3 linked regions of the Daphnia pulex genome follow. The protein of the gene in region 2 binds, or shares a complex with, the protein of the main gene of each other region. Links are inferred from orthologs where the notes say so. Each region holds a gene or a part of one and is shown on either strand. Other genes may lie near its edges.

Region 1 (10,894 bases), on a different chromosome or scaffold from region 2:
GGGAGATCATCTCGACCAATCCCTTTCCTTCCATCAGTCCAGCTATTTCTTCCATGGCCATGTGACGGTACATCAAAGTGTAGCCTTGAGAGCGCAACAAGATTTCCATCTTCATGGGAGCCTGTTGGCGAGGAACCACCTTCATAGTCTTTTGCAAAAGATCCTTCAGAGTATCCAGCTTGAAGTCCTTGGGATCCAGTTTGCGGAAGAGACGGACGTAGGCATCCTCAACACCTGGTGGTGTGGAATAATACGAAAGAACACGATTTTTACTTTTTGTACAGAGAATTCACCAATTAATTTTAGTAATTTACCTTCCAAACGAATCATGATCTCAAGAGGAACGTAGTTGAATTCAGAAACGCGATAGTTGGCACGTCCAGAAATGATGAGGGGGGCGCGGGACTCTTCACCGTAGATAGTGGCAAGTTGCAGACCACCACCGAAACCATATTTCTGGTCATGGAAGTCGAAGACGCGGTTGCTGGAACGGAAGAAGTTGGTTTTGATGTGGGCGACGCGACGCAACAACAATTGCAGTTGGTTGGCGATAGGCTTGATGCAAGGATTCTTGGAATCGGCGTAGTTCTGCAAAGGAAAAGTAAATCAATCTACTGATGTTATTGTTATTCGATTTGGTCTTACGCGGAAGGTGGTCATCATGAAGTTGAGAACTTCCTGATTGCGTTCCCAAATGGCGCCAGCGATCAGCTGTTGCAGCTCGAGGAAAGTGGGCTGAACGCGGAACAGGGTAGAGACGGCGGCGATACGGATCTCGGTGGTCTCGGTGGCATTGAGGATCAGGGGGAGAACAGCAGACAAGAACTTGTTGCGGTTAACTGCGGCGATGGGCTGCAGAGCGAAGATGACGTGAGGGCGGACGGCGTGAGGAACGGAGCCGCTCTTGACGTGAGGAATAAGACGCTCAATGGCAGGGAGCAAGTTGGTGTTGCGCAGAGTGCTCAAGGCAACGATCATCTCGGGGTGGGTCTTTGCCGACTTGAAGGCTTCATAGGACATGCGGGTGTACTTGTTGATGGTATCGGTCTTGCAGGGACGCAGTTTGTTGCCACCGCAGGTGACGCCAACCAAATGACCGAAAGCCAAAGCGATGGCTCCTCTCAATTCCCTAATTTTTTTTACAATTCAAACATTTAGAGAAATCATTTAAACAAAGGTATTTAAACGTCAATCCTACTTGGTCTTGATGCTGGGGCTCTCCTTCAAGAGATCCTCCCAGGAGGTCAACAATTTCTCAGATGGCATGCGCAAGTAATAGGGGAGGAAAGCAACCATACGACGAGCTTCCATTTCACTGAGTTTGCCACCCAGAACCAATTCCTTGATCAACAAAGCAGCAGGGTTGGTGCCAGTAAGTGGGATCATCTCGGTGAACAAGTTCCTAAACAAAAAAATCAACATCAGCATCAAATGAATTTGAAAATCTAATTTCATGAAAATTACTTGAGCTCCTCGTCGCTTTCAACATTTTTCCAGACAGCTTTCAAACTTTCCAAGCTCATTGCCTGGAAAAGTTGGAGGGCGGCCATAGCGGTGGGATCCAAAAGAGTTTCATCATCAAGGGCTGATGATCCAATGACTTCCTTCAGCTTAGTCAAAGTGGGAACAGCCTGAAGAATCACAATTTTTCAATTAAACAGTGCAACATTTTAATAGATAAATTATTAATCGCTTACCTTAGCACGGAGAGCTTGTTGGGATTGGGGTTCCTCGGGGTGCAAGAAATCTTCTTCACGAGCCAAGTCGATATCCTCGGGTGTGGGGATAGGGCGCTTGAGGGTGTAACGAAGGCTGCCATAGTGTTTGGTCAGGCCAGAAGCGGAGATGGGCTTGGCAATGGGGCCGGATGACTTGAGAACCAAAGTAGTGCTATGTAACAGAACAAATAAACACAAACATTAAGATTATTTAAGAAGATAACACAAGAAAACGACTTGATGATACTTGGCCAAGTTGTAGAAAGGAGAGCCTGCAGGTGGGTGCCATTGGAGAACCTGGTAACCGAAAGATGAGATGATGTGGGCCTTGGCAGTGTTGCTGCTTGATCCACGGCTAAGCTGGTAGTAAAGCTGAGTGGTGGCGACGAGCTCATCCTGTGATTTACCAGCACAGTTGGTGGCTCCGAAGCTGTTATGACCCAAACGAGGAACGTTGGTGCATTCGCTCTGAGTGCGTTGCTTAATCAGCATCAAGCGACCCTTTTCGGAACCTCCGAACGAGTAGGTAGTGTTACAGGTACCGACGACAGTGTCCTGATTTTATGCACAATCAAATTCATTTGTTAATGTTTTTTATTTAAATGGACAACTTTTTTTCTTTACCTCGACAGTACGCAAGAAAGCAGTGTCGCCCTTGCCGATTTCTCCGGCAACGACGTCCATTTGCAACTTGGTAGCCAAACCCTTCTTGATGTTGATGGACCATTCGGCATCTGAAGCGTCAGCATCGAATCCGGTAATCTGAAAATAACATGATGTTACATTTTTGACAATTCATAAAAAAATTGTCAGTTGACGATTTACCTTTCCATTGAGGAAAGAAATTTTGAAGGGTTTCTCCAACAAAACCAACTCGGGCTTCTTCAAGAACTTGACAGTCGACAGAAGAGTGTCGGGGCCATTGTGCATACCTAAGGTCACATCTGAAAGCTATTGAACAACACAAATTGTTAAATAAGACAATCTATTTTGAGACAGAGAAAATGTTTAAAAATAATATCTACCTTGACGATGGCTTCTCCGGCTTGTTTCTGGATGAGCAAGTTGCCGCGGATGCCGAAAGAGGAGCCAGATGGAGTGGGATCACGAACGCCGGTTGTAGTGAAAGTAAGGTAACTGTACTGGTATTCTTGACCATCCTCAAACAAACCTGAATAGAAGTTGACGCAAACCGTTAGTTTCAACTAAATGAATAAAACTAAATTTTGTGTGAAATAAAACCAAGTTGAGTCTTTACCTTCCGCACGGCAGCTGCCGGCGACGAGAAGAAGAGCGAGGGCCAACAGGCTCAGACGTGCCATCGTGTATGTAAGCGTCCTGGAGGATCACTGGCGACAGCGACTTGAACTGGTTCAACATTCGTCCTTATATACTAGTGACTTGCTGTGGGATCCCGTCTTCTTTTTTGGGTTGGAAATCTTTGCATGGAAACAGCGTAGGCTCCGAGCTGATTGGTTTTCACAGTCTCGCATGGTGGTGCGATTCTTCGAAGACCAATAACTCAAGCAATGACATCCACCTAAACTCCCTCAATCCCCCCCCCCCCACCACTCCCTCTTCTCCCGCAGTCGGACAGATGGAACAACCGATCCCAAAACCTAGTTCATGGGAGGCAAAACGGGAGATGATAGTGACACTACCGAAATAAAGAACACATTTTGTATTTACTTGCATTTCGGCCATGTGCAGATCTCCTGACCTATTCCTACTCCCACTCCTCCCCCTATCCCCCCCACTGGCTCCTAAGTAAAATAATCTTATCAAGCTAAGCTCGTGGGTGTACTTAAATCCAGTGCTTTCGTTGTGACTGGCCAAATGTTGACATTTGACTTTGTGGCCAATTGACTGACGGCTCACATTGGAAGGAAAAAACGAGGAATCAGCACTATTGGCGGAAATCTCTTTTCAAACAAGGTACAAGGTCTCCAAAAGACACAAAGAAGAAAATACTCTTCAAGGTTAGGTGATAATCTCACTGCTGAGATGGTAAACTTGAGGGAACCAAGTAAACAAAATTTGAATGGCCCATTTAGTTGAAAATTGAACGAAGTGATTTTGCTCTGCTTTAAAGTCAACGAACAAATATATAATTTCACGATTTTGCAATCACAGGCTATTTCAGAGACGACATTTCTTTGCCATACTGAACTGATTTAATTACGTATTATCGCACGCAATGACCCCACAAGCACTCCCACGACTGGCTTGTTGAATCCTTGGACCGTGAACAGACTGAAAAAAGTTGTGATTATATAAAACCTTAAATTTCTAGCTCTTATTTTTACGTTATCGGACCACTTTTTGAATGTTGAATTCAAGCTAATGCGCAATCGATAAAAATTGCAATTAACTCTGATCAAACAAGAATTCAGTTATGGTCATAACTTGCGTTAATATCCCCTTCCAGAGTCAACGTCACATAACATTCGTCCAAATCATTGTTTTACTATCTATTCATTGCATTCGGCAATAAGTTCACATTTTATATGGTACCATTATGAGATCAGTCGTAAGATAACATGATTTGGCAAGATTTGATTTCTTGACAGACTTGTTATTCAACTGGACTGTAGAGTGAGCATGATTTAAAAACACACTTATTCGACGTTTTAAAAATGAGAAGAGATCTATCTCTTAGTTAAAGTAAAAACATCCATCTTGAAAGCGGATCTCGCTAGCGGATGGCGGGAGTTGTGATGAGCAAAACAGATCGAGGCTCGTCCGGTCAAGACCACAATCACTCAAACTTTCCTTACCGAATGCAGAAGTGGCGGCGGTCGAACTTTGGAATGATGCGAAGGGCTTGGTGCTGGATAGCGTAGTCCAGACAGCCGTGAAATCGCTGCTTTGCAGCAGTTTCATTAGCGATACCATCGAGTGGGGTAGGATCGGACCCTGAACTTCGATGGAGTAGAGATTTTCTCCGTCTTGCTTCAGAAAACCTTGTCGGGCCTTGGGTAGAAAAACAATATTGTGAAATGGTAGATTTCGAAATGCTTTGACACTCGGTTACCTTGAGGGGTCGGAGTGTGGCCTGATGGAAAGCGACGGGACTGAATAGAGTTGGAGGAATTCCAGTCAATGGGCCAGTGCTGGACAGACACAGTTTGCTGTTTAGAAGCCAGTTGAACAGTCCCTGCGTCTCAACACCTTCGATCAAAAGGAGCGAGTCCGCATAGGTGCCTTGGCTTGTTCCTTGCCCTCCATCCTGCAACCTTTCAGCCTCCCTACGAAAATGTTAACGACATTTGAATTTATGTTGAAAATCTGCAAATCATTAATTAGTCTCACAATTTTGATCTGAGATTTGAATGCAGGCCGATATCGTTGATCCAGTCAGCATCATCTTCGTCACAATCTTCGTCATCAAGATCGCCAACTTTGTCAGCTTCTTTGGTTTCATCATCTTCATCATTATTCACAGGGTTCGTTTGATCTTGACCACTTTTCTTCAACGGCATCGAGTATGAGATATCTATATTAAAATATCAAGATGAAAATGAAATTCTAGACACTTTCAAAAGTTTCTTCTTGTTTTTGTTTTCTTGTACTCGAATCGGAAACCACGATCGTAATACGATCTCCGGATGGTAACTGATACGTTCCAAGAAATCAAGTTTTATAAAGTCTTCTAGTACTTTCTACGAATTTTCTCTCTAGAAATCTCATTCAATTATGGAATATTCTTGATTCAAAGTTTTGCATAGTAAAAAGAAGAATAAAAAAGCAAACGTAATAGCAAACTAACGCTAAGAAAAAAAAAGAAAAAATGGATGTGTCATTCAATCCTGGCACACATGTGATTGATTTTATCCAATGAACTAAATATCGCTGTCCTTAATACCTTCTCGTCGCAAAACTTCTCGCATCCCACGCGTGGTAGGGGTTAATAGAGCATGGATTTCTGCAACTCCTCCTATTCCAGCAGCTCGAAAGAGAACGGTGAATTGATGAGTACAGACATAGAAGAATGGGCATTGCCTCGCGCGCAATAGTCCGAAAAGAGAGCGAAAGCTTTCACACCAGTCGTTGATCAGGCAATTTGACACGCTCGAGTCCATGCCGATTTGGACAGAGCTGGTGGAAGTGATAGGGGCTCGTGTGTCCCGAGGGAATAAAGATAACCAAGGCAGCCAAGGATATTGCCACAACAAGCAGCATTGATGAAATTGCGCATTTGTTGACGTGTCCAACGTGCTCCACTCGTCGGATTTGAGAGAGCTGACGCATCTCACGAAACCTGTGATTCCAGAAGCCTCCTCGGACGTCTGCGACGAAAAGCTGAATCATAAAATCTGGTATTTTTGTTGCTTGATATAGATAAACATACTTTGAGAGTAGAGCTGAAGGCAAAAGGTGATTTGGAGGTGAAGCGTACCCTGGTCTTTAAGGACCAATCAACAGGACACTGATCAACTTTCTGGCAAACAGGTGTTACTGCAGTGAATATTGACAGAGCTTGCGGTAGTTCCACAGCCAACTCTTTATTGGTATCAGCTTTTACATTGGGGGCATTTAACATGCTCATGAAATCTACATTGGCACTTGCATTTCTCTGGTCATCTTGAGTGACTGTAAGAAGTTTTGGCCTCTTGGCTGGGGAGCGTCTGTCAAGATGTGCAACAGTTAGACATTTTTTGACGAGAAAATACCATCATTTTACACTATACCTGAAAGGATTCTTTCTCTTTACAGAGGCAGTTGCTGACGAGGACGATGTGGGGGCCAAGGCTTCGTCATTATCTAAATTATTTGTTGCTGTCGTGGTGGATGCATGACTGAATCGTGCTTGGAGGGCTTTTTTCTTATCCCTCATCTGCCTCATAACTTCGTCAGGCTTTTTCCAAACAGACCCTGACATCTTTATTTAGTTTATTACCACAGATTTATAAGACTATTATTCAACACTTGATTGATATCTTGTCGGACGTTTCGTTCTACGAGTTGTGGACAAGAATTGAACACGAGCGCCATTTCTTCTGCTAAGTTCAGTCATCTGACGAAAGGCGGCTTCAAGCATTTTCAAAATCACCAAATAAAAATTTAATTAAAAGCAGCGGAAGCTTTAAGATATGATAGGAGACTGAAATAAATTAAAATAAATTTTTTTATGCGTTTTTACTTTTTAGTATTTCAATGGTTTGGGCGATGCGTATTTCATATCGGAATCTTATCCCCTAATAGCAGACAACTTCCCGTTGGAAATGATTTCACGTTTCATGACAAACACGAAAGTACGAGGCCTTAACGTTAAAAAAAGTTTAAGTTAAACTCGTGGTATTCCTTTGTCTCTGCTCAGCTCAGATCCAAAAGTATCTGAAAACCATATTCTGTGTCTGTATGCCTATACACTTTTGATATCCTGTTTAAAATTGAATTGAATGCATTTCTTTGTGTTTCCTAGGAGGTCATATGGATCTTTGAAGTCTTGTAAACGTATTACAAGTTTTTTTTTCGTAAGAAAAGGACAACGTCGAATTAATCGAAGGCTTTTCAATATCGTTTAATACTATGGACGAATCTGATTATAACAATGAGACTGGATGGTAAATCTGCTTTCCCATGCTTTCTATACAAACAATGTCAGTGATTCCTTACCATCAGTCACAGGAGAAAACGTCAACTCAGTGATGGTGATCCGGATGCATGTGACTTCATGCCACTGTCTAAAAGAATCAACAACCTGCATTTAAATGGTAGTAATTTGAACTCGGAAACCACACCATCATACACTGTAAGTTTTCTAGGTCATGGAGTACAATCATTGGCTAAATTCATATTCTGTGTTGTTTGCTTTAGCCTACTGGATCTTCCATCTGTGAATGCCGTCTGCAACCAAGCACTTCCAGCAGTGTGATACAATGTTCCTTGTGCAACCCCAATCTCTATGGGATCACTCGGCAAGCACTTCCTCTTCCAGACCTGCTGAACATTCCCAATGAAATGTCACGTGAAAGAACTCCCCAGCATCAACAGTTTATTCACGATGACACCTATTCACCAGACATGGATGTTCACTCCAACCCTCACTACTACACGCCCAACAAGCTGCTGTTTGATTTGCACATTGAGCGTGTCAAGAGGCACGGTATACTATTCAAGCCCAACAAGTACGACGGCTAGAAGATGTCAGTACTAATAATGTAACAATAATGTTTCGCTCTTTTCTGTTTCGTTTTTTTTTAAATCTCAATTTTATGAAATCACTTCATCTTCGCTAGTCGATTAATACACGAAATTATATTTCAGACTGAGAAGCGATATATCTTACAAATTGTGACACGTATATTTCAGCTGTCTCCTTGCTAATCGGCAATACACACATGAATAATTGGATGGAAAACAAATGACACGGGTACGTGCATTCACGTTCACTGTGAGAAATGAGTGTAAGGAGGATACCTTTTCGACATTGACTTTTTTACCAAAAAAGATCATCTTGCAGATACGGGGAAAAGTATAACATAAGAGGGGTATAAGTGAGGACAGGTGTGGCACACTAGGAAAGTACAATGGCGAAGTTTGCGTCCACAGGCGCTTTCAATTCAACAAAGACAAAACAAAAACCAAACGAAAAATTCTTGCAAACTTTTCTTCGCTGTGTTTTTTTGCAACAGAAATGGACAAAAAGCAAAAAAAAAAAGAGTATTATTATGCCAACGCTCTCGAAAAAAAGAAAAAACATCGTAAGTAACGCATGTGTGTGTGTGATTTCCAATTTTGGTCCCTGAATGTTTTCTTTTAAGTCCAGCTTCTTCTTCATTTCTTGCTTCTATATTTTTTTGCAATACATCAATGGAAGCTTTCCATGTATATAATAGGTGTGTGTGTGTGTGCTAGACTAGCAGTACTTCTTTTTCTGTATAAGGATTATTTCAATTTCACTTGTCGGCCAAGTTTCTAATCGACAAATGTCCCCCAACCCGACCCGAAGTTTAGCCGCCTCAAACGTTTGTGGTTTGTCCCTTTCTCTCCTTATCGGCACTAGTGTTATGAACATGACATTAAAAAACACAGGTAAATAACACAAAAATGAATCAACTGTTCAAAGAGATTATTGGACAGAATAGAAAAAAAAAAGAAAAACATATTTAGTCACTTTTGAATACTGTGAGGCCACCGACCACCGATCCTGCGGAAGGTTTGTTTGCTTTTACAGGCGTAAGAAAAACTCTCAATGCAGATGCGCCAAAACGCTCTGATGCTGCTGAATGTTGATGGTGGAATTGTTGTCATTGTTCTGTTGCCCTGCTTTCCCTGGCTGCTGGCCAAGCTCCTGCTTAATCCTCTTGGCCATATGGGAGTGAATGTGCTTGGTCAGGTGATCCTTGCGATTGAAACCTTTACCACATTCAGGACAACGGTGCACTTTATCAGTTCGATGAATAATCGAATGCCTTTGTAAGTGTTCCTGAGTAATAGGAAACAACATTCGTAATGTTTAAAAACAAATCCTGAGGTTATTAATAAAAGAAAAGTTTTAAAAACAAAAAAAGGGAGGAAAAACTCACGATTCGTTTGAATGTCTTGCTACATACAGGGCACGGGTGTGGGCGTTCAGTCATGTGCGAAGACCTATGTCTATCTAAATGTTCTTTACGTTTCAGAGCTGCACCGCAGTCGTTGCAGATGAACGGTCTCTCCGATCGGTGTATCGTGAGGTGAGTCTCGATGGCTTCCCGATTGTTGAAGACCGTGTGGCACTGAGGACATCCATAGAGCGTCGTTCCATCCAGAGCTGTCGTCAGCGCTGGCTGCAAACTCGTGCTCCTCCTCCTAGGCATAGGCACTCCAGGGATAGGATCACGTCTCTTTTTCTTCTTTTTGGCTTTCTTGGGGACCTGCAAAAGTTGAACGAGAGATGGTGAGGTGTGTGAAGACAGTTAGTTGTGAAAGTGTGACATTGTCATTACCTGAGACTGTTGCTGCTCAGGTGTTTGAACCGATGGGGAGTTGTCATTCATCATGTTCTGCTGCTGATCATCAGTCTGAGTGACGTGGATGAGCTCAGTGGGGTATTTGTACATCTGCTGGAAAGGGAATGTGGGTGGTCCAGAGAACCGGGACAGGTATTCATTTAAACTACTAATGTCCTGTTGGGCACTTTTATCTTGGTGGTGTTGCTGGTGAAACCTTTCGTTTTCCTCCGCCTCTGTTTCCACTTTTACAAACACATCATTCTGGCCAGTTTTGCTCAATAACGTATTGAGCATCTGGTTCTGGATCTGGAGGGTGCTGGACGTTGGAACATGGACATGCCCGTTGAGGTTGTGATGATTCAGTTGTGATGGGTCCACTGTGCTGACGGCTATCTGCAGGCCCTGGGACGATGGTATTGAAACAAACCCCTGGTCCTGGGCCTGCTGGAATTTCCCAACAGCGAAATGTGGGATCGTTGCCAACGTCGTCGGGAAGCCGCCAAACGGGGTGAAGCTCATCGTAAAACAATGAGCTCTCTATATACTGCACTCACAAGAGCCAAACAATGTTACGCATCGGTTTTTAAAATGGACATAACAAGAGACACACAATCTACCAATTTCTAGCAAAGCACTACTCAAAATCTCTGTCTACAGGTCAGCTTGACATACTATGCGTGGCAATCGTGGTTTTTGATCTCAAACAACTTGTCGATCTTGATCCCAGTTTCTTGTTGAAGAACAGATTTGCTTTTATTTCTCTCTCTCTCTCTCTTTAGTCTTTTTTCCAAACACCGTCAGGCGGGAGAGGGGGATCTCTCCTAAACTACAACGGGCGGCAAAAATGCTTTTCGACGAGACACTAGCGCCACCGTTGTACAACAATGGCGTCATCCGGCATCAACAAATTTCACAATCTTTTTCATTTTCACACGTTAATCCATCGTTTGACACGCGTTCTTCCTCTTGTTATCGAATTTGGCTCACGCAAACCGAAACGTTTTCACAATCAATCGCCATTTTTCGTTTGGCAAATCGGTGAATTTGGACACCTATTGTACGAATGGCGGGAGTTTCAAGCCGTCGACCGCCATGATGATATGTCCCCCTCTGCACGCCAAAATGACAATTTTTTCGTTTGAATTTTGTCTACGCCCCTCTGATTTATCTGGATAAAAAAATGAAGAAAAAGAGGCGAGACACATTTTGATTTAGTTATTAAAACCACCGTCATAA
Region 2 (10,005 bases):
TTTGAGCGCAACACACTACTCCAGTCTCGTGTTATACTAACCCTATTTGGGCCAATTTAGAACTGCGGATTATACGAACCTTGGAGTCGCTTTAGGACGGCCACTTCCATCTTCAAAACTTGTTTGGGCTGCTTGGCCGATTCCAGCTTGAGAGCCACCAGTTCACGCGTCACCAAATCCACTCCTTCGTAGATCTCTCCGAAACCACCGCCGCCAATCTTGCGCACCTGGAGCATGACGGAGGGATTATTACGTGATTAATTTAAGTTTCAATTCAGTACACGCTCCACCCAATATACTACTTGGCAGCGGCAAATTGTATTCCTTAAAAAAAAGTAGAACTAATGTTGATCCCGGTGACACACACACACACGACCTCCCCTGAGTTGTTATGTAGACAGATTCAGTCAGAACTTTCATCCAAAGTTCTGGCACGGCATCTTTTCCCATTTTTCTCGCCGGCTATATCCAGTACTCGCGGCCTCATTAGCGCTAATGAGTGTGTGCGATTTTCACAGTTTCATTACGCCGAGAAGGCGCACGGTGTGGAAAGGAGACAAGAGAAAATCCCAGACTAGAGCGGGCGTGACGATGGGTGAAAGAAACCGGGACGCAAGCGCACCAACTTTTTTGATTTCTTCATACCATTTTTGTTTTGTTTTGTTTTTGTTGTTTGTCCCTAAAGTATCGATTAACTCAAAGCTAACGTGAGACAAATTTGGGTTTCGAAATGTTTGAGATGTCTACTATGCCGCCCCGCCCGTGAGTAATGTATATATTTGGGTTACTTGATGTTGACGTATGGCTCAAGGAGCGAGCCCGTTGCAGAAACCCAAACACAAAAAAAGGAAGGATGAAAAAATGTCTAATGCAAGTAATAAAAATAAGGTCAGTAGACATTTTGATTAGACGAAACGGTTACATTACAGAGAGAAAAGATCGAATTGAGCCCAGGACCCAAGGGGGAGCCGGTGCCAAGTTTTTGCGCATGGAAGCACAACTAGTGCGGAACACATACTACAATCAAAAGAAAACAAAAGAACCAGATGACTAACCTCTTTCTCAATTTTCCTGATACTAAAACTATACCTGCACACGATTTCGTGTAGGGGGGAGAGACAGAAAGGAAGGAAGTGAGAAATCCGATGCAACAATGTTACATGTTGCGCTCATCTTCCAATCAAGCGTCACGCTAATTGTCACGCTGGGTGACTAGATTTGCCGGTGCCCGTGTGACCTCATTAGCAGAGAGAGACCCACACACACACACGCACAAAGGAGCTGAAATTAGGAAAACGGCTCGCAAAAGAGTCTGCGAAGAGTCGCCAAAACTGATTTGCCAAAAACTGGGTCAAGTTCGACAGTCGAAACGTCTTTTCCTCGTTTCGCAATCGTTTTTCATTTTGAAAAACAACAATGCCAGCAAAAAGCTCGACCGGAGTGGGCGGGGGGGTTTGGCAAATGTTATTTCTTTTATATTTTTGCATGCGCTAAACAAACACGTTGACGTCTTTTTAGGGAACCTCGTAGATCGAGTTCATCACCGTGCGTCAATGTAGGCGCAGCACTACTACCCCCGGACAGCTGTCTGGATTGGACGAGGGTTAGACGGGAGTGTTCCCAATTTATTTTAACTGACTGTGTGACTAGCCACAGGACGTTGGTGGTGGCGACGAAAGCCACGTGCTGTTGGTAAAACTGTCCTCCTCTCACTGTCCCGTTCCCTTAATTATGCAGAATCGAGACCGGAAGGTCGGCCCAAAACGACAACCCAAAAAAAGTAACTGCGTCTTTCAACCCCCAAGTCGAAGCCCCTTTTCCCCTTCTGCAAGTCAAACTACATGCAAATTGAGTTGGATGATCAATTGGGTGGTTCTTGTTCTGGAAAGGCTTCAAAGATTGGGAGCTTAAACCGAGCACACAGCAGTGTAGAAATCGTTTTAAATGGCCGGCATGTATATATTTTGTTTCTTTTTCTTCCTGTTTTTGCTTACCCAACGTCGATAGGAAAATCGTAAAAAATAAAAGTAGGAGAGAAGAAAAAATAACGTACCACTTTCCAGCGCTCTTTGACAACATGTCCGGGTTGGAGTAGGTCTTCCGTGGCCATGGTGATGTGTCCGTTGGTTTGCTTAGCAGGGCGTGCTACACATGGAAGTTGCAGGAGATTTGGTCTCTTGGGTTTGCGCGTTTCCACCAAACTGGCGGCACTTTGACTCTTTTGGCTATTTCGCTCGTCGCTGCTGTGATCGGCGTCGTCGTCGTCGCTGCTACTCGACGAGCTGCTATTGCTGCTATGCAAACGTACGGCTGAGGTTGTTGAGGCTGCGACTGCTGGGCGTCGACCGGCACGAACGCAACCGCTGCTGCTCGACTGCGAAAAGCCGTTGACTAGGAGGGAGAATGCCGAGATTTTGATGCCGCCCAGTCCTGTGGCGGAAACTGCGACCGATCTGACGGATGATACTGTCGCCTCGTCAACAGCTAGCGCCGCTACGTCTAAGCAGGGACTGGGTTCCGCCGAACTAGCAACAACAAGAAAACATAAAAAATGTGAAGGGAAACCAATAAAAGCCGGGCATACCCCCCACCGAAAAACAGGGGGTTGCAGACGGGACTCGTACTACTGACGGTTCTGTGTGGGCGGCAAGCGTAATACATGAGACAATGGAGCATTGTCACGCCGTACCACCGTACTGCACCGGGAAACGGTCAAAACGTTATAGCCAACCAGCTGCGACTGATTTATAACCACTACACAACAAACGAAACAACTGCGTTACCAACAATCAGTTGTCGCCCGAATTTTTACTATGGAGAGAAAAAGGAAACGAATGCGAGAAAATGGCGCTTTTCTACTTCTAGCAAACGCCATTCAAAACTATCAAAGCATCTGAAAAGCACCGAAAAATAAGGGGGGTAGAGGTGGACTGGGGGCATAAAAAAGCCGAAGAATACGACGAGAGACAGGGGGCCGCCCCGAGAGATATTTTCAGATCGCGGTCATCAGCTTCAACAAACAATCACGACAAAAGAGAAAACGAGACGTTCATGTTTGCTGCTGCTCAACGGGCATATAGCCAACAACACGCACGCACTCACGCAAGCAAGCAAACACACACACACACACACAGTTTGAATTAGATAGAGTCCTGTTGGTATAAATACATCATTTGAAAGAGACGAGCGCCAATTCCAGCTTCGACCAGAGATTTTCAGTGGCTAACTTTGTCGACTCAACTTCCTATAATATTCAACCTTGAAATGTGTGTACAAGCGCGACCTTTTCAACGGGGGAAAAAAGAAGGAGAGACAGAGAAAAACGGCCCAGGCAAACTGGTTCTGTTTGGGATGTTTGGATCGATCAGAACAGTGGCGAAACGTAGGATTCAAGGTGTGTTTGCGAGCGATTCCTATACGTGCAATATAGTCTAGTTGGGGAAGTCCGAAGATGTATACACACATAAAAAGCCACACCACCGTTCCTATTTTTAGTCGACGAGATCGTACCGCCGAGACAGATACTGTCTCTGCCACTTTTTGCCCAATGCTCCACCTTCCTTACTGACTCAAATTCACTAGCTCTTTGAGACTGATTGAATCCTGCTATCACTCGACACCCCTTTGTTTTTCTTGCTGAACAAGGGCAACTGCGCTGGGAAGGGAGACATTGTCTACTGGAAAGTGAGAAAACGCAATACTCCATCACCCACTTGACTCTGCTCAATCCACAATTATGTTAACCTGGAAATGTAACAAAATTTAGGTTGGATCTGCTGGTTACGTTCACTTCACTAACTTCCAAACACTTTTCCTACCAACATGAATGAATAATGGGATAATCCCGGCCATACCCACTTGAGACCAGCCGTCATACCCCAGACAAAAAAATCAGTCAATGATAGAAAACCCCAGTAGTTCGCCCTCCAACAAAGCACGTATACACAGACCAGATCGTTGCCTAAATCGATTTTTCTCCAACAAGCTCAAATTGCTCAATCACACGGGACTTTCCTCGAGGAAAAGAAAACCTTATTAGTTAGCCAAAACAAATCTATTTCAGCTTTTCTTACCAGTAGTTTGGCAGAAATCTATAGAACAGTTGAACGCCATATTTGTCGACACATTCGGACTGCGGCTGAGCAGAGCAGACGAAACAAAATTTGTTGGAAGGGGTTGGGTAACGCATAAAATCGATGATGCTAAGCTATCGATATGTAGTCTAAATCGATTTATAATTTCATACGAAATCCGGTCAACGACTTTTTGAGCTGTTTCCGTGAATGGGAACTGACCAAAAGCAATTAAATAAAATATTGAAGATAAAAATTTTGTGATTTACCACTGCATTATCTCCCAGCGCATATCGGCTGCTTGCGGGCGACAAGGAGATTGAATGTAATTCGCCAGCGCGCGCACTCCGGAAATCGACTTTCTTTTTTGTTTTCACCTCTCGATAATAAATGTGTTGTGGTAGCTAGCTGTTGATATTCCCAATAAGAAATCGACGTCGATTCCCCCACACTGTGCGAACTGCGGAACTTTGCTTTTCGAAACGATATGCAGTTTTTATTGCTCGTGGACTAAAAGAAGGAGCTTTAAGTGATCGAGCCAGCTCCGCTAGCCAGATCCTTACAGACTGAACGCCCGCTATGCTTGAGCCGGTCTCTTGAATACGGCCTCGCTAGTTCTTTTTAGTTTTTTCTTGGCGCTCAACACGTCACGACAACCCGAAAAGCTTGTTTTGTTTTCTCCGTCTATACTACTACCCCTTAATTCTCTTACTGTAGCATTTTGTGCTACAGTTGGCGTAAATGAAAACTAGAGTTCCTTATGTGACGGTTTTATTTAGACCCGAGTGCAGCAATTTCAATGATCGTCTGGAAACGGTCCATGTGCAGTTCGTCACTCAACGTCCGCTCTGTTTAGTTAACCACCTGCCGCCAGATACGTAATTATACGTACATATACCTACGGTTTGTACAGCAGACCACGCAAAAGGGATGTCTTTTCTTGTAAATAATAAATACTCGTCGTGCGATCTCTGTACATTTCGTAATCTAATAATAGCACTAGATTGCTTATTTTTACAAGGATGTTGCGTATTCGCGAACACGGATGCCACGTAGGAACAAACCATCTTCTTTCGATTTCGAAATCTTGTCCTCATTTTTAACGTTCTCTCTTTTTTCGCCGTCCAATTCCACCGATAACTGTGATGGAACAGGAGTTGAAGGAAATGCGAAACGCCAACGCAAAAAAATTCAAGTTGAACAAAATGTCGAGTATACCGTGATGGTTTGCCTTACTATTGTTTACCTTGCTCTACCTTAAGGCACTACCGTCCGCCCGGTACAAACTTGGCCAAATCACAACATCTTTTCTTAGAATATAAGATGTAACTAAAAATATACATGGTTTCCGCTCGCTTGCATTTGCATAATGTATTCTTAAAGTCGATGAGCCAGCACTTAACCAAATGGCAGAAACGACTTGTTTTGTTTGTTGTCGATTGACACGCTTAGCTTAAACTGATATATTTTTTCAAAGAGGGCCAGGTTTGCTTTGCAAATGTTTGAAGAACAAACCCGTTTAGAACGGAACAATAATCCAAGGAAAAAATAGAACATTTGAGCTCTGGCTTCATTAGCCGAGTCATGCAACGATGTTTTTGTTTTTGGCGGGAAACGTTGTTTTGTGAGGCCTCTCCTGTCAAATAGCAGTCGGCTTGTGGTAAAATTTCGTTTACGATTGAATAAGAATAATAATGGCTTCCTATTCCGGAAATCTAACGCAACTAAGTGATCTTTTCGGAACAGCGGATACTATATCAGAGACCGAAGACGCCGAATTCTTATCTGCTTCTGAAGCCGTCAAGAAACTCGAAGAGGTTTGGAATGATTAGACGTGCCAAAAATGTCCTGTTTGATGTTGACATTCCTCTGTATTATTGTATGTCAAGAGCTGGCTCAATGAAATGCTCGCCCCAGAATTATTATCTCCACAGACTGAGCTAGTTGACTGTCTTTTAGAGCAGACAAAGAACATGGAAGAGAATCTGATGGCCATTTCTAAATCAGATTTTCGATTTGCTTTGCATCGAATGGAAGTATGAACTACTAAATCAAGATTATGCCCTTCCCCCTTTACTAATATATTTGTAAAACATATGTTAGGTTGAAAGAATACGCTATGTAGTTACATCATACCTAAGAATACGTCTGGAGAAAATAGAAAAATTCCTTGGCTACTTGTTGAACAATGAAAACAAAAGACAACGAAATGAACCAAGTTTGCTTACAGAAGATGAATTAAAATTTGCACAAGAGTATAGTATTACCAGTTATTTTTGTTAAGTTCCTCTAACAACCATATTGTTTGTTTTTTGACAGACTAAACTCCAACACAGAAACCCACCTAAAAACTCTTGGACTCAGACACATGCCTACAAACATGAGAGAAATCAACACCCAAAAATTCATTACAACTCCAAACCGAGATAGCTACGTTTTCGTATGCGTTAAGGATGATGCCCCCTCAGTTCTTGTGAGCGATGGCACTAGCGAGTAAGTGTTTATATTGAATTCAAATAATTTTTTCTTCACATTGTATTCAAAATTCTTATTTGATTTTATCAGGGGTGAAATAGAAGTGGAACTGCTGATGAATTCTCAACATTTACTTCCGTATAGATCAATTTCAAGCTTGTTGCAAAATAATACGGTCAATTTGTTGTAATTTAATTAAAGCTACACTTTTTGTAAAACTTTTATGTAAAATTTCTTCAGGAATACAGGTAAATTTACAAAAAATTAATTTATTTTCTATTGAATACAACATACAAAAGGTGGCGCTAATGACCAAGTTGTTTTTTGAGCCGAGAAAAAACGTCTGCTAACTAACTTGTTAGACTTCATGAACTCATATAGCCAATCACTTTCCTTGCAATCACAAAGCTACATCCTGTTAGTTGATTTCTGGTTTTGACAGTTTCTTACTGATACTTGAGACTGAGACCCTTTACATCGGTTTATTGATAATATAGCCTTTCTCCGTAATTGTATGCCCAAGGATGGCTGAAAATTTCGGTAGTATTTTCTTGTTTACTTGTTGTTCATTAGACAAACGTCAACCCATTTTTTTATTGTTCAAAAATTCACAATGCTAATCAATTCTACTTTTATCTTATTCAGAATTCCTTTTCAAATTTCTTGTCATTGGCAGTGCAGGCACAGGAAAATCCTGCTTATTACACCATTTCATTGAGAAAAAATGTAAGCCATGCTTTTATTTTTTTTTTGTATTGTAAAATTTCAAATGTGTAGATAGTTTGTAGATAGTTACACAACAAATGAAATTGTCTTGTATATGAAAGGTAGATTGTTCGTTTCGTACTGTAAATTTGCAGTTGCTTTTACAGCTTGTCTAACAGGACTTTTTTTTGCAACAACATAATTCATTATTAATGCATATTTATTAAGAATTCCCTGTTTACATTTTCTCTTGGTTCACAGTCAAGCAAGACAGCAGCCATACCATTGGCGTGGAATTTGGTTCAAAGATTGTCACAATAGGAGGAAAACAAGTGAAGTTGCAAATATGGGACACTGTAATATAGCATATTCAATTGTATTCGGTTTACCTAATAGCTAAATCATTGTTTGTGTTACAGGCTGGACAGGAACGATTCAAGTATCACAATTGTCTCTTGTTGAATACTATCAGTTGAATATGCTAATTTTTTTGTAATAATTGAGGTCCGTTACAAAAAGCTATTATCGAGGAGCGGCTGGAGCGCTTTTGGTCTACGATATCAGTTCGAGAGAAAGTTACAACGCCGTTTCGAATTGGCTTACTGACGCTCAAAATTTAGCAAATCCCAATTTGGTTGTTTTGTTGGTTGGGAACAAAAGAGATTTAGAAGAAGATCGACAAGTTTCATTTCTAGAGGCCTCTCAGTTTGCACAAGAAAATGGTAAATCGTTATTCGTTTAAGTAATAGTTTGTAAACATTTGTCGAATTCAAGATTTCTTTTTATTTAGATCTAATGTTCCTAGAAGCCAGTGCGTTAACCGGTGAAAATGTTGAAGAGGCATTCCTGCAATGTGCAAAGACCATTCTTTCTAAAGTTGAAACGGGTAATGTAAATCCTAAATTTTGTGTTATAATCAAAATTAATTTCTGTTATTGTTTTTAATATTTAAAGGTGAACTTGACCCCAATAAATTGGGCTCAGGTATTCAGCATGGAGAGACGGCTATTAGAAGATTCCAGCGTCAGTCGACATCTATTTCAGTAAATCCACCTTCATGTTCGGGTTGCAAGATCTAACACTATCAAAAAGAACTTTCAAGACGTAGAGACAGTTAACCATGTCTTAAATTCCAGTGTAATAATAATTCGAAACACGTCTATTTATATATATTTGACGAAACCGCTCGGTATTAATAACAATGTCCAAATTGATGAGAAAAACCGTTCATACAGATTTCAAATTTTCTAACGTTTTTCATCTACATTCTCGAGTTCCTCATTTTCGAATCGACTGTATCCCCTGTGATCAGACGAGAATAACGTCAGAGCAGTTAGCTCAGATACTTTTTCAGGTTCATCGGATTTAAGGATTAGGACCAGTGGAGCAAAGACTAAATTCAAAACACCCATGCAAAGCATCAGGCGAGGAAAGCCCAAAGATTCCACCAGCATTCCACCTAACATTGGACCTGTTCAGTAGGAGCAAATTATTCGTCTGTCGCATTTGTAAGTTTAAAAATGTAACTATTGAAATCAACTAACCTAAACAGTAGGCTAAACTAACGGCTGTTTGTCCAAGAGCAAAGGTTTTACCGTACGACGGGGACAAATCGACAATCTTTTCTAAACGTTGACGATTTTCTGCCAGCCTTGGTATTTTAACAGGATAACATTAATTGATCAAAATTGAATGGGTGTTATAACATGGGCCAAACTTACGTAGCCAAGAGAGGCACTAGCGACGCATCAACAGCACCTATCCCGGCACCTATGCAGAAATGCGGACCAGTTAAATGGATGATGGAACTAGCAAGAGGCACCTGGATGATGAAATGAAATTTTCGCATGGAATGAATTTGAATTAAGTATTAAAACAAAATTGTTTACCAAAGTGCAAGAGATACCCAATATTATCATAGAGAGCATTGCCACTTTCCAACGACCGACACGGTAAGCTAAACCACCGAGGAAGTGAGTGGTTAACAAGTAACCGCAACTGTCGGGAATAAAAACAGCTCCAAGTTGCCAACGCTGTAATAGAAAATAGTCGTCGGATTGAAAGAGCAATAATAACTTATTTAGATTAAATCAATTCTGACTTCCGGTTTCATAGTCTTCATGAGCCAAAATGGCAAGCACGGTTCCAGAAGAGACATGACCGATGTGGAAATAAATATTGCGCCAACTACAACACCAAGAACCAAATGGCGATGATGGACATACTGCTGAGGAGGTTCAACAGGTTTCCGGCTAGGACAATTTTCCGCTGAAAAACAAATGTCTTCTTCTATGGATTCGTCTTCATTCCTCTGTTGTTGATGATCAGAGACGCGCAGTGTCACCGAGAAAGCAACTACGAATCCATTTTTATTAAGGTTGGCTAAATTCCATGTCCTTAAATGACTTTTACCTAACAGAAGGGCAGCCAAGAAGGCGATTAATAGAAATGGTACAGATTTTCCAGTAAGCTGATATAAGAACCCGGCGATTGGATAACCTAGAAGGACTCCAACGGCTCCTCCACCTAAAGCCTAGGTTGTACCAATAAATGTCAAATAAGAATTTTAAAAAACACTTAAAATTAGTAGACAGATACTCGGCCAAGAGCTTCGCTTCGTTTAGTCTCTTCGCTGTAAGTTGACGCTACCACCCCAAGGCCTACAGAAATTTGGCATTCAGTTCCAGACATAGTACATAAAGGGAATTGAATTAAAACGACCAGCAATTGTAAAACAAGCGGACGTGATGCC
Region 3 (10,610 bases), about 2.9 Mb from region 2:
TTTGTGCCAGTCGGACCAACGAGAAATAACAGTGGCAAGGCACGCCATACGACGACTCTGCACACAAACATCTGACTTATTTCCCTTCGCGTGTGTGTCTTGAAACAAATCGATACGGCGCCTACATGCGTGAGCTCGGCTAGACGCACGATAAGAAACAGCTGCCCCCACCCCAATCCCCGATATTCACGCTATGGCGGCGTGAATGTTGGTGGCTATACGGAAACGCCAATCAGAATAAAAAGCTACCACACTATCCTACATTTAAACAAAGAACCAAACAATCGATAGATATATTTACGTCGTGACACTATTCGTCGTGTTTATTTCACTGGTATAAACTCCGAAAATGACCAAAAAGGAAATGAGCAATAGACATAAATTTAGGTTAGAAATTCAAAAACGGAATAAAACGACTTTGTAACAAAAGTGGACATTCGTCTGTGGGTTTACATGTGAGAGTAGACGAGAGACATCGCCATGGTGATTCGGCTACAGGCCGACACACTTAGACTCGGGAAGAGCTTGATCAATTTTTCACAATGGAAATGAACGGCCGCTTCTAGGAGCTCGTCGACCGAGTGTAACTTGGCCCAGGAGATTAACTGATAAACGTTGTTCATTCGGATGTGTGAAATCAGATAACTAACGCATTGTTGTTTGAGATCTCCAACATCGAATTCGTCGGCAGCTTCAAACAATGACTGGGCTTTGATTTGGTTGATGGAGGACGAAACTTTGCCAGAGTAGATAAAGTGGAGAACGTCTTTGAAAATCTCGAAGCGGATGTGGTGGATCCTGATCTTGCCCTGACCGCCCTGACGATTCGCTTGTTGTATCATAGCAGCGAGCACTAGGCTTCTGGCCGTCAGAATGATGGCGTGTCCGCCCACGCATTGGCCGTTATCAAACTGAAACTCCACATCACAGTTGGTTTGACGAACGTACAAGTTTGTAAACTGCTTCAATGCATTCGTTTCACTTTTACTCGGGGCCTTTGTTGTCATCTCGTTAAACTTGATCCAAATACGACAAGTAATCTCCTGGTCGTAAATCGCCGTGGAACTGTACATCAACTTAAAAACCGATACACGTCATCAGCCATATAAAGTCTAAAACACGACACAAACAAAGACAGACAAAAAACAAGAAATATTTACCGATTGCCATGTGCACCACTTTTCGTTCATCTTGTTTGTCGCCATTTGAATGCTTCCTTCGTCAATGCTGACCCCTACAGCTTCAGGTAAAGCACTGCAAGGTTGACTCGTTTCTTCGTCGATTTCATTGCCTCCAGGAGTAATCAGTTTCAAAATGAAATGAAAACGTAAAGCTTTCTGTGCATTGTTACTAGAATCGTCTTCTTCAAACTGTTCTAAACGAAGCTGAACTGCATTCGCAGCATCACAGTGAACACGTTCAAGTTTGAACCAAGAGGAACGGACTCCCCGGTCATTTGTGGCCTCTGAATCCGAGACCACAGTCTTCCACACAATTTGCGTTTCACCGTCGTTCAGTTTCTTTACATTTATCGACATTCTTTTCTCTGATATTTGCACAAAAATGACTTTTACTTTTGACTACTTTTACTTTTGTCAATTTGATTATCTTGATCGTACTTAATGTTCAAACTCATTAACCATTAACGACACTTCCACCCTTGAGCTGAGTTTAAAGTGGACTGAAATTTGGAGCAGACGACATTGCCAATTTTGACCTTGAAAATGGCCGATTTTTTCGAAATGTCTGAAATGCGTTATTCGTTATCAGTAATATCCCGTAATAATTGAAAACTCAAACAAAATTGTTGATCAAACGAAAAAATACTACAGCAGTTTATTGAGAAATTGTTTTTTATCTTTTAGTCATCCATTAAAGTAAACTGCCATACATAAATACGTCCAACCCACGTTATGATAATCATTTACACTGAAAAACATTCCAAATGCACGCTAGATCAAATAAACGACATGCTGTTGATGATGACGAGATGACTTTTGGAGCTAGTCGTATCCTTGGCTGTGTACTAAAGAGAGATAATAAGCATGAAAACGTACAAAAAGTGGATTACCTTGGGGAACAAAGGTATTAACCTGGAAAGATCGTAGTAACATTCGGCATTGTTATGGGGTTCATCCGTTTTATCGTTTGGTGTTTGATGGGAAACTTTGCGAGATCGGAGAACAAGGGAACATGAAAAAGCCTCTGGAGACGTTTGCCCGTTCTATTACTTGGGGGATGAGGAACCAAATATAAAGTGGATGGCGTCGGCGCCGTTGTGGAATGGAAATGTCTAGAAAATTGAATTCGTGGCTTGGTGCACTGTTGCTCTGCTTAAAAAGTATTGAACCAAAAAGTTTAACGTATTTTACTAACACTTAGCCCTCCCAAAAGTTCCGACACCAAATATCCATTACTGTATGGAATATCCTCTCTGTTTTGAATATATTGAAACTTCATTTCAAGTTTGCCAAGTTACCACATCAATGATCAAACTTTTCACGGTCGTTTACGTAATGCCGTTTCATGCCCTAGATAACAGTCTCTGAAATCTTTTTGTTCGTTTATTGATTAATTAGTGATGAATTATTAGTATCGAAATAGTAAACAGAAGGAAAGGTGACACCAAATCATTCGGATAAGGGAAATTAGATGAGAAAGATAATATCGTCTGCTACCATGATTTGATTGGCCTCCGTCATCCTTTCGAATGCTGCCCGAGTTTCATGAGACTGGAAAGGCTCGGCCGAATGTTTCTCGACCAGGTAAGCGCGGAAACGGCTGGAAGGCAGCGACTGGGCACGCGATTCGCGGAATAATTGGGTCAACGACTTTTTGAACAAATTGTAACGCTCATCGCTAATAGAAGCGGGAGTCTCATCTTCATGGACGGTCGTATCCATCGGGACAGAGTCCGTTTCCAAAGAGGAACCTTGAGATGCCGTCGTGTCTTGTGTTGACTTTTTGGCGCGTTTGGTGGTGGTGCCACTGGACGTCGGTTGGCTGCTGGTAGCGTCGAATTCGTACGGATCTTCCTGAGTGGTTCGAGTGCGCTTCCTTTTTTTCTGCGACTCGGCAGTAGACACGGTCGTTTCGTCGACATCTTCTTCCGGTTCCTATGTTCGCCAAATCGTGTTACATTCAGACTCGAGACTAAATGGATTACTGTTAAATTACCTCCTCCTCTTCGGTATCGACTTCATCATCCTCTTCGCCGTCGTCTTCAACCTTCTTCTTCTTACGCTGCTTCTCAAGAACTCGCTTGAAGTAAGCGAATTGGACGAGCTCAATGGCCGAATGCGCGTCATCAGCATCGATGACTTTTGATAGACGTGCACGGGCGTGAGCCGTGGAGAGACGGATCAGCGTCTCGAGCGCACGAGCCGTTACCGGTTGGGTGCGCGCCACATCTGGATTTTCAACTTCGTGAGACCGGAGACGCGAATATTCTTCAGCGATGGCGTCAGCTGCTTCTTGCGACAATGTTGGCTGAGATTTGTCAAGTTTAAATATCATGAGAACTTTGCCAAATGTCACAAAGAATAACGAACCAACCTTAAGGGCGCGGGCGACGTGAATGTACTTCTTCATGAACTGCATGCTAACGACTTTGTCCGTTTTCAAACGGCTTGAACCGTGGAGAAGAGCGTCGTACTTTTCATAAAGCGGCGTCTCCTGGACGGTAGACTCATTCTCGTCCGGATTCCTGGTCGATAGCATGTCCAAATTCATGGCCAATGGGAGCGGTTCCCCATCCTGTTCCGTTGACGCACGGTAGCGATGCATTCGGACAACATGGTCGGCGATTCGACGGTCCTGCTCAACATCCACCAGATCCAGCACGATGAACAACAAGTCGAAACGAGACAGTAGTGAATCCTGCAGAAAAGCAGTCAACCGTTATCGATCATCTGCTCCAAAACAATTATAGAAAACCTATTAAAAGAACCTGCAAGCCAATGTTTTCCATGGGTGTTTTGTATTGGTCATAGCGACCGTACACTGGATTGGCGGCTGCCAGGACAGAGCAACGAGCGTTCAGTCGAGCATGGATGCCTGCCTTTGCAATGGTTACCTGAAGGAAAGAAACAAAACAAAAACAATTGACTGAGTTTTCATCTAATATTAAAAGGATGGGCGAGACGAAAAAAATCGATCGACAAAAGTAAACTTTTTTGCTTGAGTGGAGGTAAGCTGGATTGGATCGATTTCAATAAATACTAGGAATGGAGGGAAACGAAATTCGTGGTACGGACTATTAAATATTTGATTGAAAGCAGAATAGCATGGGAACTCAATTAACTAGTGGGCGCACGCGGCCGGTGGACATCAAATTACCATTTTCAAAGCGATCATGGCAAAACGAAGTTAGTTTTCTATTTCTAGAAAAAATGTACACGTCTAATAAAGCAAGTGGGAAATTTGATGCATTGCGGAATTTTTGAACTAAATTATTTCTAATATTTCAAGTAAGTTTTGGTTCAAAAGTAATAAAAGAATTATGTCAGGCGAAACGTAACGCAGCAGTGAAATATTTACCGATCCTTGTTCCATGACTTCGTGGATGGCAGTTCGATCGATGTCGGACATTTTGTCAAATTCGTCGATACAAACAACTCCGCGATCAGCCAAAACCATGGCGCCAGCTTCCAATCGTCGCTCACCAGATTCAGGATCGTTGGTCACTGCAGCAGTTAAACCGACGCCGGATGAACCACGGCCTTTCAAAGAAAATCAGATTTATGAAACGGTAAAGATCGATAGGGCGGGAGAAAGGCAACCAGTGTAAGATGATACCTGTTGTAGCAACGGCTCTCGGCGCCGTGAAGAGGACGTAACGAAGAAGTTGAGATTTGGCAACACTAGGATCGCCAATTAGTAGAATGTTGATGTCACCACGAAGGCGAGTACCGTTGGGCAAAACCTTTTCTAGACCGCCGAGCAACATGCAAAGAAGGGCACGTTTGATGTATTCGTGCCCGTGGATGGAAGGCGCCAGAGATTTGGCCAAGAGCTGGAAGACGTCAATTGATTTCATCCGAGAGAATTTTTTACATTTTCGGACATCATCACTAGTGATGAAGATGGAAGCCTCTTTGCTGAGGGGGACAATGTTGCAAGCTAAGAGGATCGTCCTGTAAGATCAAAGACGAAATGTTATATCAAAGTTTTGGGAAATAATAATTCTGAGAAGACGCGTTACTTGAAGGCACCTGATGTGAATCCTCCTTGTTTTCCTGGTAACGAGCGGAAAGTGCCAATAACTTGGATACGATCGCCAGGTTTGCATCGATCCACCAAGTCGTTATCACAAATAATGTCCACCGCACGAGGCAGTTGTCCTTTAATGAGCAAGGTCAAAAGAACGTGTTAGAAAAGGGGTTATAATTTACGCTCCAAAAAATTTGTATCTACCGGCAGGAGCTTTTTCTGGCATTTCTTGGATCGTTAACGTTTGATGGTCTCTATAAGTAGACAGTCCATACTCTGTCTCTAGCAAATTGCCATCTTCGTCCTAAATTATTCAAAGACAGACATGAGTTCGTAATTATTGTAGACTTTTAAATTTCATTTTCATAAGTCATCCCGTAATTTATTCTATTTTTTTTTAAAGTTAACTAAAAATAACGACCTGTGTACTTTCATACGCCATCTGAGGATGCTAGATACAACTAGACTGAACTTCGAAATCTTTCCTTTCTTTCCTTCAAAAGTTCTATTTTTACTACCACAAGATAAATTACCTTGGTTGGATAGACGGAACTTGAAGGGAATGCATCAAAACTAGTCAAATCGGTGTAACGCCGTTCGATAGTTTTCTTTGTTGCAGGACAATAATGCACGCTGCGAACGATCTTCGGTCGAACCAGAGAACCTAACATTTTAATTAAATTAATTAAATCAATTAATTTATCTTAAGACTTTAAAGAAATTGGATTCTTACACTTTGTGACAATCCCTTCAACACAGACTAAATTTCCAATGAATCGTGAAGTGAGACTTCTTGGAGTGACATGCTTTGCTCCAAAACTTCCCTCGAAACCAAGAAAAAACTCGTCATGCTCCTTTGCATAGCTTGAATCAATACCTCCAACAAACTCTGCTAAAGCTTTCTGGAACGCCAATTGCTCTTCAAAAGCATTTGTAAGCAGGCTGCATGAAAAGAAAGGTGAGTGTTTCTACAAAACTTTGTTAAGTGTTTATTTTACCCATTGGCTCTAGCAGCATTGACACGGCGAAGATCATTGATGTTGACAACCAACCTAGTTTGTTTGTTACTCACCATATCCTTCACAAGTTGAGTATAAATTCCATCTCGATTCTGCAAAGCAAAAAAGTTAATAATAACCACCTATTGAATTGTTAGTTCAAATCAACAGGTCCCTACGTAGTCGTCGAGAAATTCAGCGTATTCACGTTGAATGTCTCGGATGCGTTGATCGACATCTCCTGCAGACATTTTCGAATAACCAGTGGAAAGCAAAGTAAAATTAATCTAAAATAGCAAATTCAGTGAAAACACTGAAAAAATCTCGATCGCAGACTTGAAAAGTTGAAAACAAGTGTGACCGACTACAAGCACAGCAGACAACGAATCTACACAATGAAACTAAAGCGCCAACTCCCGCCAAAATACGCCATCTAGTGACATGACAGTATAGGCTGGCGGGCGATTTGAAATGAAATTCAAATTCGGAAAAATATTTTGTGAAAAATATTAAATAAACGAAATAATAGTATTGGGAGTAAAACAGGCTAATACGCCCAAGTGTATTATAGACGATACAGTTTTCCCCCTTGCGATGATACAATCGGGTAAATTATGCAAGGGCGAGACGTGGACGCATGATTTTTACGACAGAAATAGGTGGATAGGGAAGAAAAAAAAAGTAGAGCTATGTTTATGAGGACTACACATGATAACATTATTCTCACTGATGATTGCCCCACATAAGACAGCACAAATTATTCCATTCTCTGGGGTTATCTCTACAAAAGCGGAAAAGTCGTATGTAATCTTTTCTTTGTTTTTTTCTTTTAGATTCAATTCCAGGCGCAACAAATATTCTGTGTTTTCAACTGAGATTGATCCGAGGAGTTGAAGAAAGGAGAACAAGAGAGGGAGACGCATCTTTCTTCCTCGAATTTAGATATGCCCAAAAAGAGATGTGTTCGTTAAAGTTTTTCTCATTTGAAATCAAAATGTCCCGACTTTTTTCCTATAAGTTTCTCAACTGTAATAAGCTGAGGGGTGGGGGGTAGTAAAGATTATGTTTTTATATGATGGAAGTAAAGCTGACTGGAACTTTCAGAACGGGACGTGAATGGGACCTCTATGTTGTTGATTTTTGGATTCCTATCTGACTTGGAATGTCGGTGAAAGAAAACAGAAACATCAGGAAATAAGCCCAGATCCAACCCAAGAGCTCGAATTATCTAGAAAGTTTTTTGAACGGATTCAGTTGAGAAAGTTTTTGGGCAGAAGTTTGTCTTTTGTCACCAGGGTTTTGAACAATAATTTCTTTCCCCCTTTAAATCCCATATCTTTGTTTTTCTTTTTAAAACAAAAGCAAAAAAAAAAAAAATCCCGTAGTGAAATGAAAGCGTAAGACCTACCAAAACTAAATAATAAAGAGGCACAATTTAGAAGAAAAAAAAATTGGACGAAAAAAAATTGCAAAGGAAAGAAAAGTCACCACGCGCAACATAAAAGTTAAATCGTTACACACTCACACACATTGGAGGTAAATGGCGCGGAGGGAATATGATGCAGTAGAGGTAAAAGTAAACCCAAAATCATATTTTTGTTTTTCAAAAGAAGCCGTCGGAGGGATCGGGAACGTGAGCGGAGAAAAAGGATTGTTTTTTTTGAAGCGGCGAGGACGGGTAGTACAGAGTGGGAGAAATGGTTAAAAAATAAAGGGGAGACTTGATCAGATATGTCAACGGTATTCTGACTCGCCTAAAAATTGTTGAATGCTTTTCCTGATTTTTCACTTATTTAGCAATTAGTAGCCGAGAGACAGATTCGGCGCATTTTTCTTTTGTTTATAAAGCAGCTACAGGTACACGGGGAACATAACTCGGGAGACAAAAGAGCGGCAGGCGACAAAGAGGGAAACCAAAGCCAATCTAAAGAGTGTGAGATGAGGACGTGAAGAGAGACACACAAATTAGGGAAGAAGAAGAAGAAGAAAGAATTGATATTTCTCACGCTTGCCGAGAAACGATATGGCTATTATTGTCCGCTCGAAGGAATTCCCGACCTCCCGTCCAAAAAGAAAGAAATTTAAGAAGAGCAACACACGCACACACAACTAATTAACTACACGATACTTATTTCACTATCCAATCAAAAGGAAAACCAAGACAAGTTAAGAAGGATATTCTTTTTTGTTGTTTAAGGAGAGAGGGCCAAACTTGATTGTAGGGTTGTAGTATATAGTATTACATCGCCAGCAAACTCTTTCAGGCTGACGTCGAGGTGCGGTGGGTGGGATATTATTATTTTCTTATCCTCGTCAACTCCTGCCCGGACGTTTTTTTAAGAGCTGCCCGAATGTTGCGTTGGGACCGCCCCTTCGCCACAACAAAATACACATGTACACTCACGCACACACACATAATTATTATTTTTTTTTAGCTTTTTTTTCTTGAGGAAGATGGTCGATGTCGGTGTGAGAAAGAATTATTTACGGGGGCAAGGATAATTTTGTCATGGCGAAATGGCCTTCCCAGCAGATTCTAAATGCACACACTACTCTCTCTCTCTTTTGCTTTTTTTCGATTGAAAACGTTTTTTTTTTTGAACGAACGCTGAAAGACGTTTGTAGCGCGGGAGGAGGGGCGATGATGTTTTGTTTTTTTTTGGTATTTTTTTTTTAGATTTTTTTCGAAATTGATTACAACTGTATCGAAGAACAAAGATAATAAAGGTGGTTCTCTATCCTAGGTAAATTTTTTTGTCCGGAAAAAAAAAGAAAAGAAACAAGTTTGACTTTTTGTTATTAACGCGCGCCGTTAGTTCGATTTCAGATGTCCTCTCAACCTCTTAGGGGGGAAACGAATGAAATGCTTTTAAACGCGAGAAAGAAAAGAAAAAACTGGGAGCGGTGTTGAGAGAGAGAGGGGGGGGGGACAGTGGATTGTTAAACAAACAGATCGGTAACGAAAAGAATTGTCAATTTGATTTTGTCGTTTTTCTTTGAAGTAGATACGGTCGAGGTCGGGATAAGGGGAAATGCTGATTGGGCAATTTCACGATTTGCTTGGTCCGTACTACATCCACATGCTGAAGGGAGGGGGAAATGCAATTGTAGTTGAGAGCTACTAAATTATCTCTAACCCTTTCTCACACCGCTCTTCCCGTTACTTCGTGTTCAGAGATGATTTCAAGGGATAGGGGGGAACAAATTCAAGTGTTTTTTAAATTGCCACAAGGGAATTAAACATTTTAAGTGCAAAGTCTCGTTTAAAACCCCACCGCAGTATGTGTTTCGACTCCCGCCATAAGCGTGAAAAATATAATGAAAGACTTGACGGCCGTGGACAAATTATTCTTTTGCGCCGGGGATGGCTCTGTTAAAAGGGACGTGTGAAATGCTCCTCCTTGCACGACAGATCAGAGATGTGGTGGTGATGATGGTTGGTGACATGAAATATGTGTTGGATATTGTGCTCGCAAGCTGACCTTCCAAACTAGCTAGAGAAAAACAGCGTCAAGTCTCGTGGAAATACAACAACCCCACACTCCTACTCCATCCTGATCCGCATCCGATATACACGTGATGACCAAGAGACAACTTACTGGGGAGGGAGGAAAAACTTCACGATGACTTTTAAGCAAAGTACATGACTTTCTTGGTATCCGCGTGAACAGTGATAGCACGAGCCATGGCGCCTGGCGTGCGATCTTCGCTGCTGCCACTTTGATGCGAACCTTCTCCACTGTTTCAATAGAAATAGAAAATTTTAGTCATTTTCTAGGCGTTGATTTAACGTTCAAAGAAATGTACCTGGTGTAACTCTTAATGCAATCCTGTAGCGATCCTTCCCCACTGCAAATATTGGAAATCAATAAAGGATTAATAAAGTCTTGTTGCCAACCACCGTCATTTAAATATTACCTGTCGTGCTCCTTCTCCACTAAGTGGTATCTGGCACGGAAAGCCACCAGATGGGCGTAGTAAGCCGGCGCCGGAATGGAGACGGAACGAGTACAGCGCACATAAGTATGACAAAGCTGGTAAGTTAAGCACTGCAATTCGTCAGCGTCAAAGTGGTTGTCATCCCACAAAACGTGATAGTGGCTAGGACGGCTAGTACCCTGTACATAAAGAAAAATACATTAAATATCAAACCACTGAATAAATATTAAGGAAATAAATTGTCTCACCTGAATGCCTTGATGCGAGCACAAGTAAAAGTCGAACTCGGTTGGGTGTGTAATGCCCGCGTCGACAGTGGTACCGGCGGGAATGTTTCCAGATTTGCCAGATTGCTCTTTCTTGTCAGCACAGAAGAGCCTGGTGTGATGGCGCTTCTGAACCACGATGAACGTGATACCTGGTTTGTAGTCAGGTTCCAATTTTATGCATGCCTCGCGGATA

Evidence for each region. The genes of interacting proteins can lie anywhere in the genome.
Region 1: the proteins of DNA replication complex GINS protein SLD5-like (region 2) and protein downstream neighbor of son homolog are in contact, whole or in part, in a cryo-EM structure (PDB 8Q6O), measured with the Xenopus laevis proteins. The link is inferred for Daphnia pulex from reciprocal best matches to the Homo sapiens genes GINS4 and DONSON. Residues at the interface, in NP_001084702.1 of Xenopus laevis: Leu19, Thr20, Pro21, Cys51, Glu54, Gln55, His58, Asn62, Arg65, Ala66, Lys67, Lys72, His76, Asn179, Leu181, Pro184, Thr186, Asp187, Glu188, Tyr192; in XP_041437004.1 of Xenopus laevis: Tyr8, Ser9, Pro10, Ser11, Phe12, Lys13, Pro15, Ser16, Ile18, Leu19, Ser22, Thr167, Arg168, Arg245, Arg469, Val471, Glu488, Thr490, Tyr518, Thr519.
Region 3: DNA replication complex GINS protein SLD5-like (region 2) and zygotic DNA replication licensing factor mcm3-like share a complex: the UniProt entries of both Homo sapiens proteins name them as parts of the CMG helicase complex. The link is inferred for Daphnia pulex from reciprocal best matches to the Homo sapiens genes GINS4 and MCM3.

The regions. Positions count from the first base shown.
Region 1 is NC_060027.1:2,495,622-2,506,515, forward strand, and holds protein downstream neighbor of son homolog, read right to left. Parts: upstream 6,601-10,894; coding exon 6,410-6,600; intron 6,347-6,409; coding exon 6,070-6,346; intron 6,038-6,069; exon of another isoform or gene 6,008-6,037; coding exon 5,584-6,007; intron 5,215-5,583; coding exon 5,031-5,214; exon of another isoform or gene 5,030-5,030; intron 4,967-5,029; coding exon 4,753-4,966; intron 4,692-4,752; coding exon 4,374-4,691; 3' UTR 4,175-4,373; downstream 1-4,174. Other genes in the region: vitellogenin-2-like, read right to left, coding at 1-234, 315-588, 646-1,129, 1,199-1,402, 1,465-1,631, 1,698-1,890, 1,966-2,273, 2,343-2,480 and 3 more; uncharacterized protein LOC124208003, read left to right, coding at 7,251-7,285, 7,344-7,473, 7,539-7,862; zinc finger protein 431-like, read right to left, coding at 8,914-9,150, 9,251-9,580, 9,653-10,177. UniProt on the Homo sapiens protein: Replisome component that maintains genome stability by protecting stalled or damaged replication forks.
Region 2 is NC_060022.1:2,229,934-2,239,938, forward strand, and holds DNA replication complex GINS protein SLD5-like, read left to right. Parts: upstream 1-5,232; 5' UTR 5,233-5,767; coding exon 5,768-5,890; intron 5,891-5,962; coding exon 5,963-6,109; intron 6,110-6,176; coding exon 6,177-6,328; intron 6,329-6,392; coding exon 6,393-6,566; intron 6,567-6,638; coding exon 6,639-6,738; 3' UTR 6,739-6,810; downstream 6,811-10,005. Other genes in the region: tau-tubulin kinase homolog Asator-like, read right to left, coding at 80-227, 2,054-2,525, 4,074-4,189; ras-related protein Rab-4B-like, read left to right, coding at 7,073-7,088, 7,194-7,274, 7,515-7,609, 7,673-7,692, 7,758-7,975, 8,044-8,139, 8,208-8,332; synaptic vesicular amine transporter-like, read right to left, coding at 8,501-8,724, 8,798-8,904, 8,975-9,075, 9,143-9,286, 9,355-9,786, 9,852-9,913, 9,975-10,005. UniProt on the Homo sapiens protein: Required for correct functioning of the GINS complex, a complex that plays an essential role in the initiation of DNA replication, and progression of DNA replication forks.
Region 3 is NC_060022.1:5,176,994-5,187,603, forward strand, and holds zygotic DNA replication licensing factor mcm3-like, read right to left. Parts: upstream 6,601-10,610; 5' UTR 6,461-6,600; coding exon 6,389-6,460; intron 6,323-6,388; coding exon 6,210-6,322; intron 6,154-6,209; coding exon 5,945-6,153; intron 5,876-5,944; coding exon 5,745-5,875; intron 5,516-5,744; coding exon 5,416-5,515; intron 5,343-5,415; coding exon 5,204-5,342; intron 5,136-5,203; coding exon 4,798-5,135; intron 4,722-4,797; coding exon 4,540-4,721; intron 4,076-4,539; coding exon 3,950-4,075; intron 3,880-3,949; coding exon 3,178-3,879; intron 3,117-3,177; coding exon 2,649-3,116; 3' UTR 2,552-2,648; downstream 1-2,551. Other genes in the region: ARMADILLO BTB ARABIDOPSIS PROTEIN 1-like, read right to left, coding at 450-1,076, 1,161-1,538; protein argonaute-2-like, read right to left, coding at 9,840-9,948, 10,017-10,058, 10,128-10,327, 10,397-10,610. UniProt on the Homo sapiens protein: Acts as a component of the MCM2-7 complex (MCM complex) which is the replicative helicase essential for 'once per cell cycle' DNA replication initiation and elongation in eukaryotic cells.